Linked DNA regions of Danio rerio. The protein of the gene in region 2 interacts with the protein of the main gene of each other region in a pairwise test. Links are inferred from orthologs where the notes say so. Each region holds a gene or a part of one and is shown on either strand. Other genes may lie near its edges. The genes, in order: stam2, klhl42 and si:dkeyp-72e1.9.

What was found.
Region 1: the proteins of klhl42 (region 2) and stam2 interact in binary tests that used the Homo sapiens proteins (3 or more experiments, as listed by UniProt). The two-hybrid records come from large-scale screens. The link is inferred for Danio rerio from reciprocal best matches to the Homo sapiens genes KLHL42 and STAM2.
Region 3: the proteins of klhl42 (region 2) and si:dkeyp-72e1.9 interact in a two-hybrid assay, tested with the Homo sapiens proteins (2 studies listed by BioGRID and IntAct). The two-hybrid records come from large-scale screens. The link is inferred for Danio rerio from reciprocal best matches to the Homo sapiens genes KLHL42 and STXBP4.

Annotation. Positions count from the first base shown.
Region 1 is NC_133184.1:39,754,850-39,759,045, reverse strand, and holds the start of stam2 (signal transducing adapter molecule 2), read right to left. Parts: upstream 2,945-4,196; 5' UTR 2,820-2,944; coding exon 2,780-2,819; intron 241-2,779; coding exon 156-240; intron 1-155. Other genes in the region: hacd2 (very-long-chain (3R)-3-hydroxyacyl-CoA dehydratase 2), read left to right, coding at 3,444-3,568.
Region 2 is NC_133179.1:18,229,703-18,234,068, forward strand, and holds the start of klhl42 (kelch-like protein 42), read right to left. Parts: upstream 2,929-4,366; 5' UTR 2,887-2,928; exon of another isoform or gene 2,883-2,886; intron 2,770-2,882; coding exon of another isoform or gene 2,747-2,769; exon of another isoform or gene 2,638-2,746; intron 2,100-2,637; exon of another isoform or gene 1,784-2,099; 5' UTR 1,735-1,783; coding exon 968-1,734; intron 1-967. Other genes in the region: cwf19l1 (CWF19-like protein 1), read left to right, coding at 2,747-2,769, 2,929-3,013, 3,099-3,183, 3,282-3,383. UniProt on the Homo sapiens protein: Substrate-specific adapter of a BCR (BTB-CUL3-RBX1) E3 ubiquitin-protein ligase complex required for mitotic progression and cytokinesis. The BCR(KLHL42) E3 ubiquitin ligase complex mediates the ubiquitination and subsequent degradation of KATNA1.
Region 3 is NC_133178.1:35,425,054-35,428,709, reverse strand, and holds part of si:dkeyp-72e1.9 (syntaxin-binding protein 4), read right to left. Parts: intron 3,295-3,656; coding exon 3,229-3,294; intron 3,014-3,228; coding exon 2,825-3,013; intron 1,622-2,824; coding exon 1,505-1,621; intron 495-1,504; coding exon 445-494; intron 368-444; coding exon 237-367; intron 1-236. UniProt on the Homo sapiens protein: Plays a role in the translocation of transport vesicles from the cytoplasm to the plasma membrane. Inhibits the translocation of SLC2A4 from intracellular vesicles to the plasma membrane by STX4A binding and preventing the interaction between STX4A and VAMP2.

The DNA.
Region 1 (4,196 bases), on a different chromosome or scaffold from region 2:
TCCTCAAATGGCTCTTTATCGAACCGATATCTGATCCAAATATCAGGATCGGTGCATCCCTATATACTAGTGACATTAAGGTAACTACCTGGTAATAAAATTAGAATTTAGAAAAACTATTCATATATTGTTTGCGTGTTGATTTTTCAGCTCACCCATTTGGAGCTGTCCCGACACGGTCACAGATATCCATAATGAGGCCCCAGTCCTCCACTGTGTTGGTTTCACTAGTTGCTTTCTCTGAAAATACAAATGAGCATTCAAATGAGACTCTTAACGCAAGGTCATTCTAGAACCATATCAAAAAAACTGATAAGTGTTTGACAAACGTCTAAACCAGCAGGAGGAAATGTCTTCTCATTTACCATAAATGCTGTTAACAAAACACTAAAAAACTAAAACTAATAAAAACCACAATTTTAAAAAGAAAATCTTTTAGTTTTAGTTATCAGTTTTGCATCCCTGAGTTCGAAGGATAGGTTTATTGAAAATAAGATATGCATACCGTTAAGCAGTGACAGCCTGTTTTGCCTGTTATTTTACATTTACAGCTTGTCACAACAGGCACAACAGTTTCTGTCATAATCCACCAGCAGAAATTATTTGCCCCCTCCTTTAAGAACAAAGCAACTGGGCACATTTTTATGACTAATTCTTACTCGTAACAACGACGTCTTGAATTGCAACATCTAGAAAAGTACATATTCATGAATAAATAAATAAAATGAACAATAATAATATGCCTTAATTTCCTCCATAAAGGAACATACAGTTTCACACGTTTATATAAACTGAATTCTAAAAGGACAAAGCTTTGAAAATAAAACCAAAGATCATGCTATTGTGTGCTGTTAGGTTCCACGCCTTTTGACAACTGAGCTCCTATTAATCTTCCACCCATTCATGCTTACAAGAAATAAAAAATATAAATAAATCAAATAAAACATAAAATAAAACGTTTTTTTTTTTAAATCAGAAACTTTTAAAACAGGACATTTTGATCATAAGTATCAGCATAGTAATACATTATTATTTGTTATAATTACATTGTTTTAATTACAGTTATTTGTTATTATTTTATACTAAATTATATGAAACAATATTTTAATATAACATACAGAATAAATACCTGAATCTTAAGCTTACTAGAAATTAAAAATAAATATAAATAAATAAAATAAAACATAAAATAAAAACGTTTTTTAATTAAAAATGAACGTTTTGATCTTAAAATCAGCATGAATTATTATTAAAAATACACAATTATGTTTTATTATATTATTTTTAACTAGATTAATTTATTATTTTACACTAAATAATAATAAATAATATTATCGTAAACATCCAGAATAATAAAATCAAAGCATATAAAGAAAGTATTATTACAACTATTATTATTATTAAATTATTAAATATTAATAAATTATTATTATTAAATTATTATTACTTTTTTATATGACTTATTGGAGCATTAAAGAATTTTCATATTTCGTACTGAAGACCCTGCCACAAAAATATATATTTAAAAAATATTTTTGTCAGTAATCAAGCAATAAAATAAATTTAAAAACAATTTCAATATAATTTGAATCAAGGAGACATCCAAAAACAAAAAAACTTATGGTTTTGGTGTAGTTGTTTAAGGTTCCCTGTTTGGGCTTTTACTAACTTTACTTCATTGCCGTAGACTTCTATCAGTATGTTTTCGAATATCTTAATCTATTTGTTTATTACTATTCTTTTAATTATTTACTTTGAGCTGGCCTAATAGTAATAATAATTATAATATAATATATATATATATATATATATATATATATATATATATATATATATATATATATATATATATATATATACGTGTGTGTGTGTGTGTGTGTGTGTGTGTGTGTATTAAAATAAGCTTCTCCTGCTCACTAAGGCTGCCTTTATTTTTTGCCTTTATTACAGGACAAACTGTACAATTGTAAAATGGTATTGCACTATAAAATAACTGTTCAAAAGTACTTTATAATTTAATTTATTCATTAATTCCAGTGATTTTAAAGATGCTTTTTCAGCTTCATTACTTCAGAGTCACATGAGAAATCTCTCTAATATTAATTATTATGATTATTATTTTTTTATAATTAATGAAAAAAGTAATAAAAGCATTAATGAACGGAGTAATAATTTCATTTGAAACTACATACAATATTAACTAAAAAAATGAAGAATTTAATAAAAACTGACCTCAAACACTTGACCGGTACATATATATATGTGTGTGTGTGTGTGTGTATATATTTATAATTATCATTTGTTTTAGTATGTCTTTGTCGTTTATTCTTCAGTTTTTTATTCTTATTGTCACTATTATTGTTGTTGCCCTTATTACAAATATTAATATTATTCAAAAACCTGTATTCCTATATTTTGATTATTAAATGTATTTTCTTATGCACACTGCTATGCTGTCATCTACGTCATGTTTATTGTGTTGACATAATTCAAAATAAAAGAAATTTTGATGGAAAAAAGAATAATTTCAGCATTTAGTGTTCATCTAAAAAGTTCTTGAAATTCAAAACAACATCCCAAAGACACTGTCAGTTATCTATTTTACATTTGACAGCTTTAATAGTTAGATTTTGATAAATAAGTTATGAATGACCGATAAACAAAACAATAACAGAGCTCTTGAGGATCTTGCAGTGAACGGAGCGCTGCTGGATCGGCCCTTAGTTACTGACTTGTCAAGACCACATCACTTCGACAAAAACAACACTGCCAAACTCACCCACATCCTGATCGAACGGGTTTTGACCAAACAACGGCATTTTGTAACCTTTTCCTATGTGTCAAAGAAAAAAACTGAAGCGTATTATCTACGTAGATCGACGATTTATCCTTCTCTCATCCATTAAATTGCGTTCACTTCCACCAGTTGCTCTTCCGTAAACTTAGTAGACGAGCGCAATGCCTGCCAGAAAATACATCCAGGAAACTGTCAACATATTCTACATTTAAAGCAGCATGTTCACAAATTATATTAATACTCAAAATTTAACCAGTAAATTATTATACTTGTGCATATTTAAAAATATATATGTTTATATTTCAGACAGGCGCATAGGTTGAGTCAGAAGTGCGCTCTGACTTCAAGACTCGCACTGCCATCTAGCGGCTAGTTTAGATGTTTCTAGAACATCATAATTCACTTTAAATAATCTCAATATATTCACATACATTACTGTAATCATATTATTTTAGTTGTATTTGATGTAAATGCTTGCGAAAAAGACGACGCTAGTCTGTAACTGAAAAAACAAAGCATTGTTTACACTCTGTCCTCACCAGAGGGCGCTGGATTCATAAGCAGCTTTTTTACATGTCAGCAAGGCCACACGCCTTTATCCACCGGGACCATTGGATGATCCAGTCTTTCTAATGATAGTTCAGTCATGTCGGCACCTGCCATGGGGACCAGCAAAACAGCGCACAGTGAGTCCGGTCACAAGAAGAAAAAGGGCCCCGGAACACTGGCCACAGCATATCTGGTCATTTACAACGTGATTATGACAGCAGGGTATGGTGGAAATCAAATGCGCTTCCGTGCTTCTCTCTTCAAGCGTGTGTGTGTGTGTGTGTGTGTGTGACAGCAGAAATGAATGGTTGGATTTCTTCAGCCTGTATGACAGAATCGCGGTCACCTCCCCCATTGAGTCTATATTGTATTATTTAACACTGTTTAATTTGAAAGCTGAAACATTTCAACAAAGTTATTCTGCACATGTCTGCTGTGCAATCCAAATGCGGTGTAACGTAAAGCCTATTATCGCTTATTTAACTCGCCGTAGGGTTGGTGATGGGTGACAGCGAGCATTGGTTGTTGTTGCATGAATGCATTGTTCTTGTTTTACAGTCGCTGGTTTGTTTGGGCAGCGTTGTAACAGGGCTTGTAGTGAATTTAGTGTCTTTGTTAGTTTGAATGTAGCCTTGTATAGTTTGTAGACATTAGACTAGGCAGTGAATTAAGCGCACCTTAGACCTAGTAACCCAGAAACTGTTGCACAATAATGTCCGTTTCAGGAACTAATCGATTCGATTCGAGACAGCCGATTCGTTTCTAAATCACTCATCGTTGTTTTTTACATGAGCATATGTAATGTAAAGCTTATTTAGCAAATTCATGGCGAATGTGAAGCATTGGATAT
Region 2 (4,366 bases):
AGTACCCCAACAATGACTGAAGCCACAAAAATGAAAGGTTCCATTAAATAGCATAATTTATCCATTAAATAGCATATTTTTCAGCCAATAAATTTTCAGTGGCTGAAAATTAGGGACATCTCTAAAATTGACACACTTTTAGATCGCATTTCTGCTCTGTGATTGGCTTATGGATCAATATAGAGTAATAAAATCCAGAGCTTATCATTGTTATTGGCGCGATAGTTTTATCGCGATTTAATATCATAGAATTTATCAGACCAGCCATACTTTACACTGTGCAACTGGAGGGTAAGTAAAACCACTGTGCTGATAATTTTGCATATTATATTGCATGTTATAATGTTGCAACCTATATGAAAATAAAAATGTAAACAAAACCTCCAGGTGCTCCAGTTTTCCTGACAGGCAGACGTAAGCTATTTGTCCATAGTGTATGTGTGAATGAGAGTGCATGGGTGTTTCCTAATGATGGGTTGCAGCTGGAAGGGCATCCGCCGTGTAAAACGTGCTGGATAAGTTGGCGGTTGATTCCCCTGTGGCAAGCCCTGATTAATAAAGGAAATAAGAAAGTAAATGAATGACAAACAGCGTCAGCTCAATGTACAGTTTAAATTTGCCCCACACGTCTGTCATGATTGCACTCCGGACTGTTTCCCAAAGCTGTGAATAAAGAGTAATGTTGTAAATAACGTTCAATTTCTTGTACAAACCAATCATTTAACGTCATGAGGCCTTGTTTTTTTGTCAGGAACCAAAGGTATTTAGTATATTTTTGACTCTTAAAGTCTTTGTAGCGATTGATTTGCATTTTATAAAAAATAAAGGATCACGTCTTCAGCTAAAAATTGTTTCTACTGACATGCTTAAGAAAAAAATCTGCTTGTATCGACTGAGAATGAGTAAAGTGACCATATCTAATTTTATCAGCTTTAAAGGCCCCTTCCACTGAAGAAATGAATTGTACCTCTTCTGGTTCAGAGATGCCACTTGGTTCCACTCATTCTTGGAGGGGTTGTAACAATGTGCGGCTGAGATCTCTTGACTTGTCATTCTGTATCCTCCAACAATAAACAAGTAGTTGTCCAGCACAGCAGATCCATAACCCCTGACATTGATCATATCCTGAGGAAGGTTGCTGGCCAGAGGTTTCCAGCGTTGTTCTACCTCACCATACCTCAACATGGACCAAGGCTCATCCTGATTCGCCAAATCCAGACAGGTGTGAGTAAAATCCCCTATTGCTACTAAAGTGGCTGTGCCTTTCAGGCGGATATCTCGGATCTGTTCTCGCACATTAGCTGCCAACATCCTGAACTCTGGCCTGCGCAGCATAGGATGATAATAACAGCTCATGAATTTCAGGCAAGCCCTTCTCAGCTCGTGCATCCCATAGACCTCAGAGAGCTTGAAGAGCTCCACGCAGTTCTCCTGCTTGATTTCAGACAGAAGCAGCTTTAGGATGGACGTGACTTGCAGGAAGGATGCTGTTTCGATCAGGTCCTCCAGAGTCTCGTTGTCCACCTGAACTTTGGAGGTGTTGATGAACTCCAGCACTAGCTCGAGCCCGGGCGCGCTCAGTCCCCGCAGCCGCACCGAATCCTCCGCGGACTCGCGCATCCCGGAGCTGTAGAGCGCGCGGAAGTAATCGCTCTTCTCGATTAGTTTGCTTTTACTCACATTGTACGTCTTGTCATCCATCACGATCTCTATTATCTGCTCGGGGGAGGTCATGGCTGCTGTTCTGGGATCAGCGGTCGTGAAGGCGCTCCTGTCCCAAAGCCTATATATGGAAATGTTGAGCGCATCGATTCGGAGTCAGTTCATCTGCATGCATGTATTCCATAAACATCCGCTTCATTTGCAAACAAGTTCTGCATTGCAGACGGACGACCTGCATATGATATATAATAATGCTTCATGAACTCGTCTGCTTGTGTAGATGTTCTTCATTTGGCAGATTATGCAGTCAGCTGATGTGCATTCTTGATCGATCCATTACATTTTTTAAAACTCAGGTCCTATGGTATTAATGTCGTGGTATCATAATATAGCAGTTTATTTTTGTTCTGTACAGTTTGCACTTCGTGTTTTCAAATGTAAATCAGTTCCTGTTTTGGTTTTGTAAGTAGTGTTACGTCACGCCGTACACGTCTTGTTAGCCACGGTTTTGCGTTATAAAATAATAATTGTTGTCATTTTATTTTTACATTACATTATTTTTACATTAACACCTATTACTGCTGCTACTATTTTGTCATTATTAACAATTATGTTTATGTGTTTAGTTTTTTACGTTTTATTAAATTGATTTACTTTCTTAATTACTTTTGTCATATGTTGTGGCATATTGTGCTTCGAAATATGTATTAATTTTACGGAATAACAACTATGAATTGCTAAAGAAATCATTGCTTGATGCGAAGCGTTCAGAGAACGTGTCACACATTTATTTCTTCCGTATAGAAACGTGATGCGCTTAACGTTATAGGCTTGTGATGCATACTGCCGTGTTTTAAAAGCCTATGTTTCACACTTTAACATTCACTCTAATTTAATTAATGATCTATAGCACCAAAAACAACTTTCGCTTTAATATGTATACTTCGTAAATGGCCGGACAACATTATTAGCTCTACGTTCTGTCAGGGTTTATTTTGTCGACGCACAAAATTCAACGCCAATGCTCAGACACAAGCGACAACAATTTTAAGCATATGTAACAAACATTTAAGTATTGTTCGGTATGGGAGACAAGCCTTTAAGAGTGTAAGTGTTAACTTGGGCTGAAAAGCGGCTTATGAGAATGCTGCATGTAATACATGTGCTATTTAGAGTCGTCTTTAACAAAATAGATGGAGATCCCTAAGTAATAAACTCACGTGCCTTTTTGCCTCCACGCTGATTAAATGTTTATTTCCCCCTCAGACTGGCGTGTGGTGACGTTGAAGGAAGAATAAATGCCTTGTTCAACCGGGTGAACGCCATCCAGAAAAAGAGCGGGCAATTTGATGTGAGTTTACACGTGTAGAGTCTTATTTTAAAGAGACGAACTTGAAAAGAGAGATAGTTTGTGTTTACTGAGATTTGTTTTTCAGTTGCTGCTGTGTGTTGGTGACTTTTTTGGAAGCTCCCCTGAAGCTGAAGCAGAATGGGCAACATACAAATCTGGGGCAAAAAAGGGTAAGGTCACTTTAAACATGTTTAAATTGTGCAGTATATCTGTAATCACAGGAAGTGAATGTCAGTGATGTTGATCAGGGATGTGTTTAAATCCCCAGCGCCCATCCATACTTGTATTCTCGGTGCAGCCAGTCAAGAGACTGTCAAGTATTTTCCAAGCTCTGATGGCTGTGAGTTGGCAGAAAATATTACGTGTTTGGGTAAGATGAATCTATAACCCCATATCTTTCTGTCTGTGTCTATTTGCTGTGCTCGGCATATATAAGTACACCCCTCACAAATATATATATTTTTTAATTCATATTTTCTATATTTTTATATTTCATATTATTAGGAAGCAATATTGTATTTGTGCATTTACATTAGATTAGTCAGTACTGAAGCCAAATCTGGAGCTTATCTAACAAAATAACTTACGATAACAGTCCAAAAACTAGTACACACAATTTTATGTTATAGAAAAATATTAAATACAAATCATAAAAAAGGAAAAATATTTGTATGATGTTGTTTTTTTACAGTGAATGTTTGTTTAGAAACTGATATGATTTTATGTTATTTTGTTGTATAATTTGTAAAGGTTTTGCCATGAATATAACCAATGTTGCTGATATGGCATTATAATAAACAAATAATTAAATAAATAATTCCAGATTATATATAAAATTGATATTTGTATTTTTCCCCAATACCCTGTGGTTGTGGTATATGTTATATGTAAAGGGTTAGTTCACCCAAAAATGAAAATGACCTCACCACTTACTTGTGTAGTTTTAAACCTTTATATTTTTTTCTTTTATTGAACACAAAATAAGATGTTTATAAGAATGCTGGTTTCTGTCACCCATAGACTTCCATAGTAGGAAGAAAAATTCTACAGACGTCAATGGGTACCAGCAACCAGCATTTTTCAAAATAACTGTAAATAGGTTATAAACAAGTGAAGGTTGAGTAAACCGTGTCAGAGATTTCATTTTTGTCTGTACTATCCTATTAAATGACATATGAATGGAAAATAATATATGTTTGATTTAATTAAAGTAATTACCAGAAGTAATAATTAATTATTTTATTATTAATAATAATATTTTGAGTAATTTTGATTTATTCAAGGCTTATGTTCTAGGATGTCCAAGCAAAATTAATTTAAAAAGATAGAACTATTTTAATAAATGTATATTTG
Region 3 (3,656 bases), on a different chromosome or scaffold from region 2:
ATGCAATTTACAACTGTAAATAAATGGAAAACACTTGGGAATCACAAAATATGGACACTGTAAATCAACAGATATTCTACAGTGTCCATAGAAAAGGTTGTATTGCTCAGTTTAAATGGTCAGTTGCTAAAATGAAAGCGCAGTAGTGTAAAGAGCCTAAAAGACAAAAGGTTTGTACTGGAATTCAGACTGCATGTGCAAAGCTGCTTATGATCTCCGGCACATTTCTGACTTACTGTGATCCTCAGTGCAAAGCGAGCAGACTCCATCCACAAGCTCTTTGGCCTTGGCTGCGAGCTGGCAGGCCGAGTCTGGGATCGGGGACGGTGTGTCGGGGCTGTCGGTTGCTGGAGATGCTTGTGCACTCCTGTGGGATGAGCAGATGTCAGGATCAAGAACGGAAGGACAATAACACTTTCAGCATGTTTGACTCAAACAACTTACCCATTTTCAATCCCGAATAAGTAAGTGTTGGTGAGAACTTTGTGGACATTCTGTAAAAACAGAGTAAAAAAAATATATTTTTGAAGGACTTCTGATGTCTATATACACTACCTGACAAGTCTTGTCGTCAATCCCAGTTGTAAGAGCAACACATAATAACTTGACTACTAGTTGATCATTTTGAAAAGTGGCAAAAGGTCGATTTTTCTGATGAATCATCTTTTGAAATGCATCCCAATCATCACAAATACTGCAGAAGACCTACTGGAACCTTCATAGACCCAAGATTCTCACAGATATCAGTCAAGTTTGGTGAAGGAAAAACCATGGTTTGGGGTTACATTTAGTATGGAGGCGTGAAAGATATCTGCAGAGTGGATAGCAACATCAACAGCCTGAGGTATCAAGATGTTAGTGCTGCCAATTACATTACAAACCACAGGAGAGGGCAAATTTTCAGCAGGATAGCGCTCCTTCCTTTACTTAAGCCTTCACGTCTAAGTTTCTGAAAGCAAAGAAGGTCAAGGTGCTCCAGAATTAGCCAGCCCAGTCACCAGACATGAACATTATTGAGCATGTCTGGGGTAAGATGAAGAAGGAGGCATTGAAGATGAATCCAGAGAATCTTGATAAACTCTGTGAGTCCTGCAAGGACGCTTTGTCATTCCAGGTGACTTTATTAATAAGTTCAGCTCTCCAAGCTCATTGGAGTCATACACAATATTATAATATATAAAAAAAATTCCCACTGCACCATGATTTTAAATTCTATACTGTACATTATTTCTGTTAAGTGACAAGACTTTTGTCTGAGCCAAGTCAGACCTTACTGTCCTAATGGAATAATTAAAAATCAAGGCATGATCATATTTTATTTTGGTAAAATAAGTGTAATCTAGAGGCCTTTGCCTTTCATAGAAAACCACTTCTGATACCAAACGATCAACTAGAAGTCAAGTTATTATCTGTTGTTCTTAAAACTTGGATAGGCGACAAGACTTTCGTCAGGTAGTGTACAGCTGATAGTTTGTTTAAGTTTTGAAATGTGCTTTATGTTTACCTGGGCAAAGCCAAGGAGCTTCTTGTTGGATATCTCCAAGTGTTTTCGAGTGAGTTCAGACTTTCTGAATTGGCTGTCAATGGCGGTCAGCCTTCTGTTCAGATCCATCACATCCTCCTGAAAAGAAATTGGCAGTTAGAATAACTTGAACTAAAACTATTCAAATTATTTTGGTTAATTCAAATATAAAAAACAACCGAGTAAAAAAAAAGACAAACAAGCCTTAAAATCACCATACAACATGTTACAGTTTATTAATTTTCAGTAAATGTCTTTTTCTTTTTTTTTCTTTTCACATTTTAAACACTCATTTGACAGGACAGTATAATTCGCTGCTTAAATCATGACATGGAAATCAAGTTATGTCCATCTTTTAATCATGTCACACTTTACAGTCTTATAACAATTATAATATAAATATCTGAAAATAAGCAGTTTCTGTAATTTGTGATTCATGTTTTTAGATTTTTTTTATTTTTCCTTATTTATTTATGTTTTTGAATTGCATTATGGGAGCTTGATCTTTCCAACAACTTCCACCAGCTTTTAAGTGACTTTTATTAACATTTTTAATAATTTAAAGAAATGTATTATCTGGTTTGGTGATGAATATTACAGCACAAAAACATTGTAATAAACTGCCAGTACATTTTCTGTTATTTTACAGACTTATTTCTCCATATATTTTTACACATGATATTATTTCAAACTACTAACTTAACTTAATGTATTACTTTCTGACCATCTATTATTAGGCATTAAAATAAACATTACGATCATGATTTTCAAAAGTATTACAGAGCACTGTAGGCGTTCAATAATACCATTTGTTGAGCCTCCCCCAGATAGACAGATAGAGGGATCATAAACAAATATCTTAAAATATTTATGAATAATCAGTAGAGATAATATAGAGCTATCTAAAAATCAGCCTACAGTGACACTGTAACACTTCTAGCACGTAGATGAATTTTTATGTAACCTTTATTGAATATTTAACAAAAAAGCAGCAATTAAGGCAAGAATATCTAACAATCTTTATTTATTTATTTAATTATATATATATATATTTATTTATTTATTTATTTTCCCAGAATTTCTTTTTCTTTTCTTTTCTTTTCTTTTCTCTTTCCTTAACCTCATATGCAGTATATGATGTTAAATTCTGTTGTAAAAATAATGTATACACATGTAAAAGTTTGTATCAGAATTTGTGGCATTGTAAAACATTTGAATAAAAACAATGTACAAAAAATAATAATATGAATAATAATAATGTGAATATTTTTTCAGCAAACAGAGGAATGTGCTAAAATGTACCTTAGTGGCCTCCAAGCCTCTCTTGTTCTTGCCGGCGAGCTGGTTTTTCAGATCTTTGATTTCGGCCTCCAGGAGCTGAATGACCTCCTCATAGTCCTGCTCTGCACTGTTGGTCTGTCTCTGCACAGCTTCTGCCACCTGCAGTTTACTCTTCAGACACTTATTCTCCTCCAGCGTTGCTGTGGCCTTCTGTTTCACACATACACACACAAACAAGGCAACCAAACATCTTAAATGATCACATATGTTCAAACGCTGGGATTACATATATTTGGCATACTCAAATATGACAAGGCAAAAAAAGTCATCCATTTATTAAAACAGATTGCATGCCTCTTAATAGTTGAACTGCATATATTGAAACATTTAAGATTAGTCAAGTTGAACTTTTTTTTAGGCTTCACCTCTGCTGTCTTCTGCAGTTCATCCTCCAGAGTCTTCTTACTGTCCTCTGTGTCTTTCAGCATCACCTGAGAAAAATGCGATAAATCTTGACGTTAGTTTGCTTGCAAAATTGTTTAAAAACTCAAAAAAATGGCAGTTTAAGATCTGGGATATACAGAATACAAAATATCTATACTTTAAATATGTTTTATGATTTATTCATCAAAACGTCTCCAATCATAGGCCTTTCTCTTTCTTATCATGTCCATTTGCTACCATTTTAATGAAAAATCATCTTAAAGGGTCATGAACTGCCTATTTTTTTCCATTACTGGGTCTGTTGCATAAAACATGAGTCATTGGCAGTTCATTCCACTGTGACAATGCCTAATATTCAGCGACTAAGCCAAAGGTAAATGGATAAATGAATGAATGAACTTGTAATCTA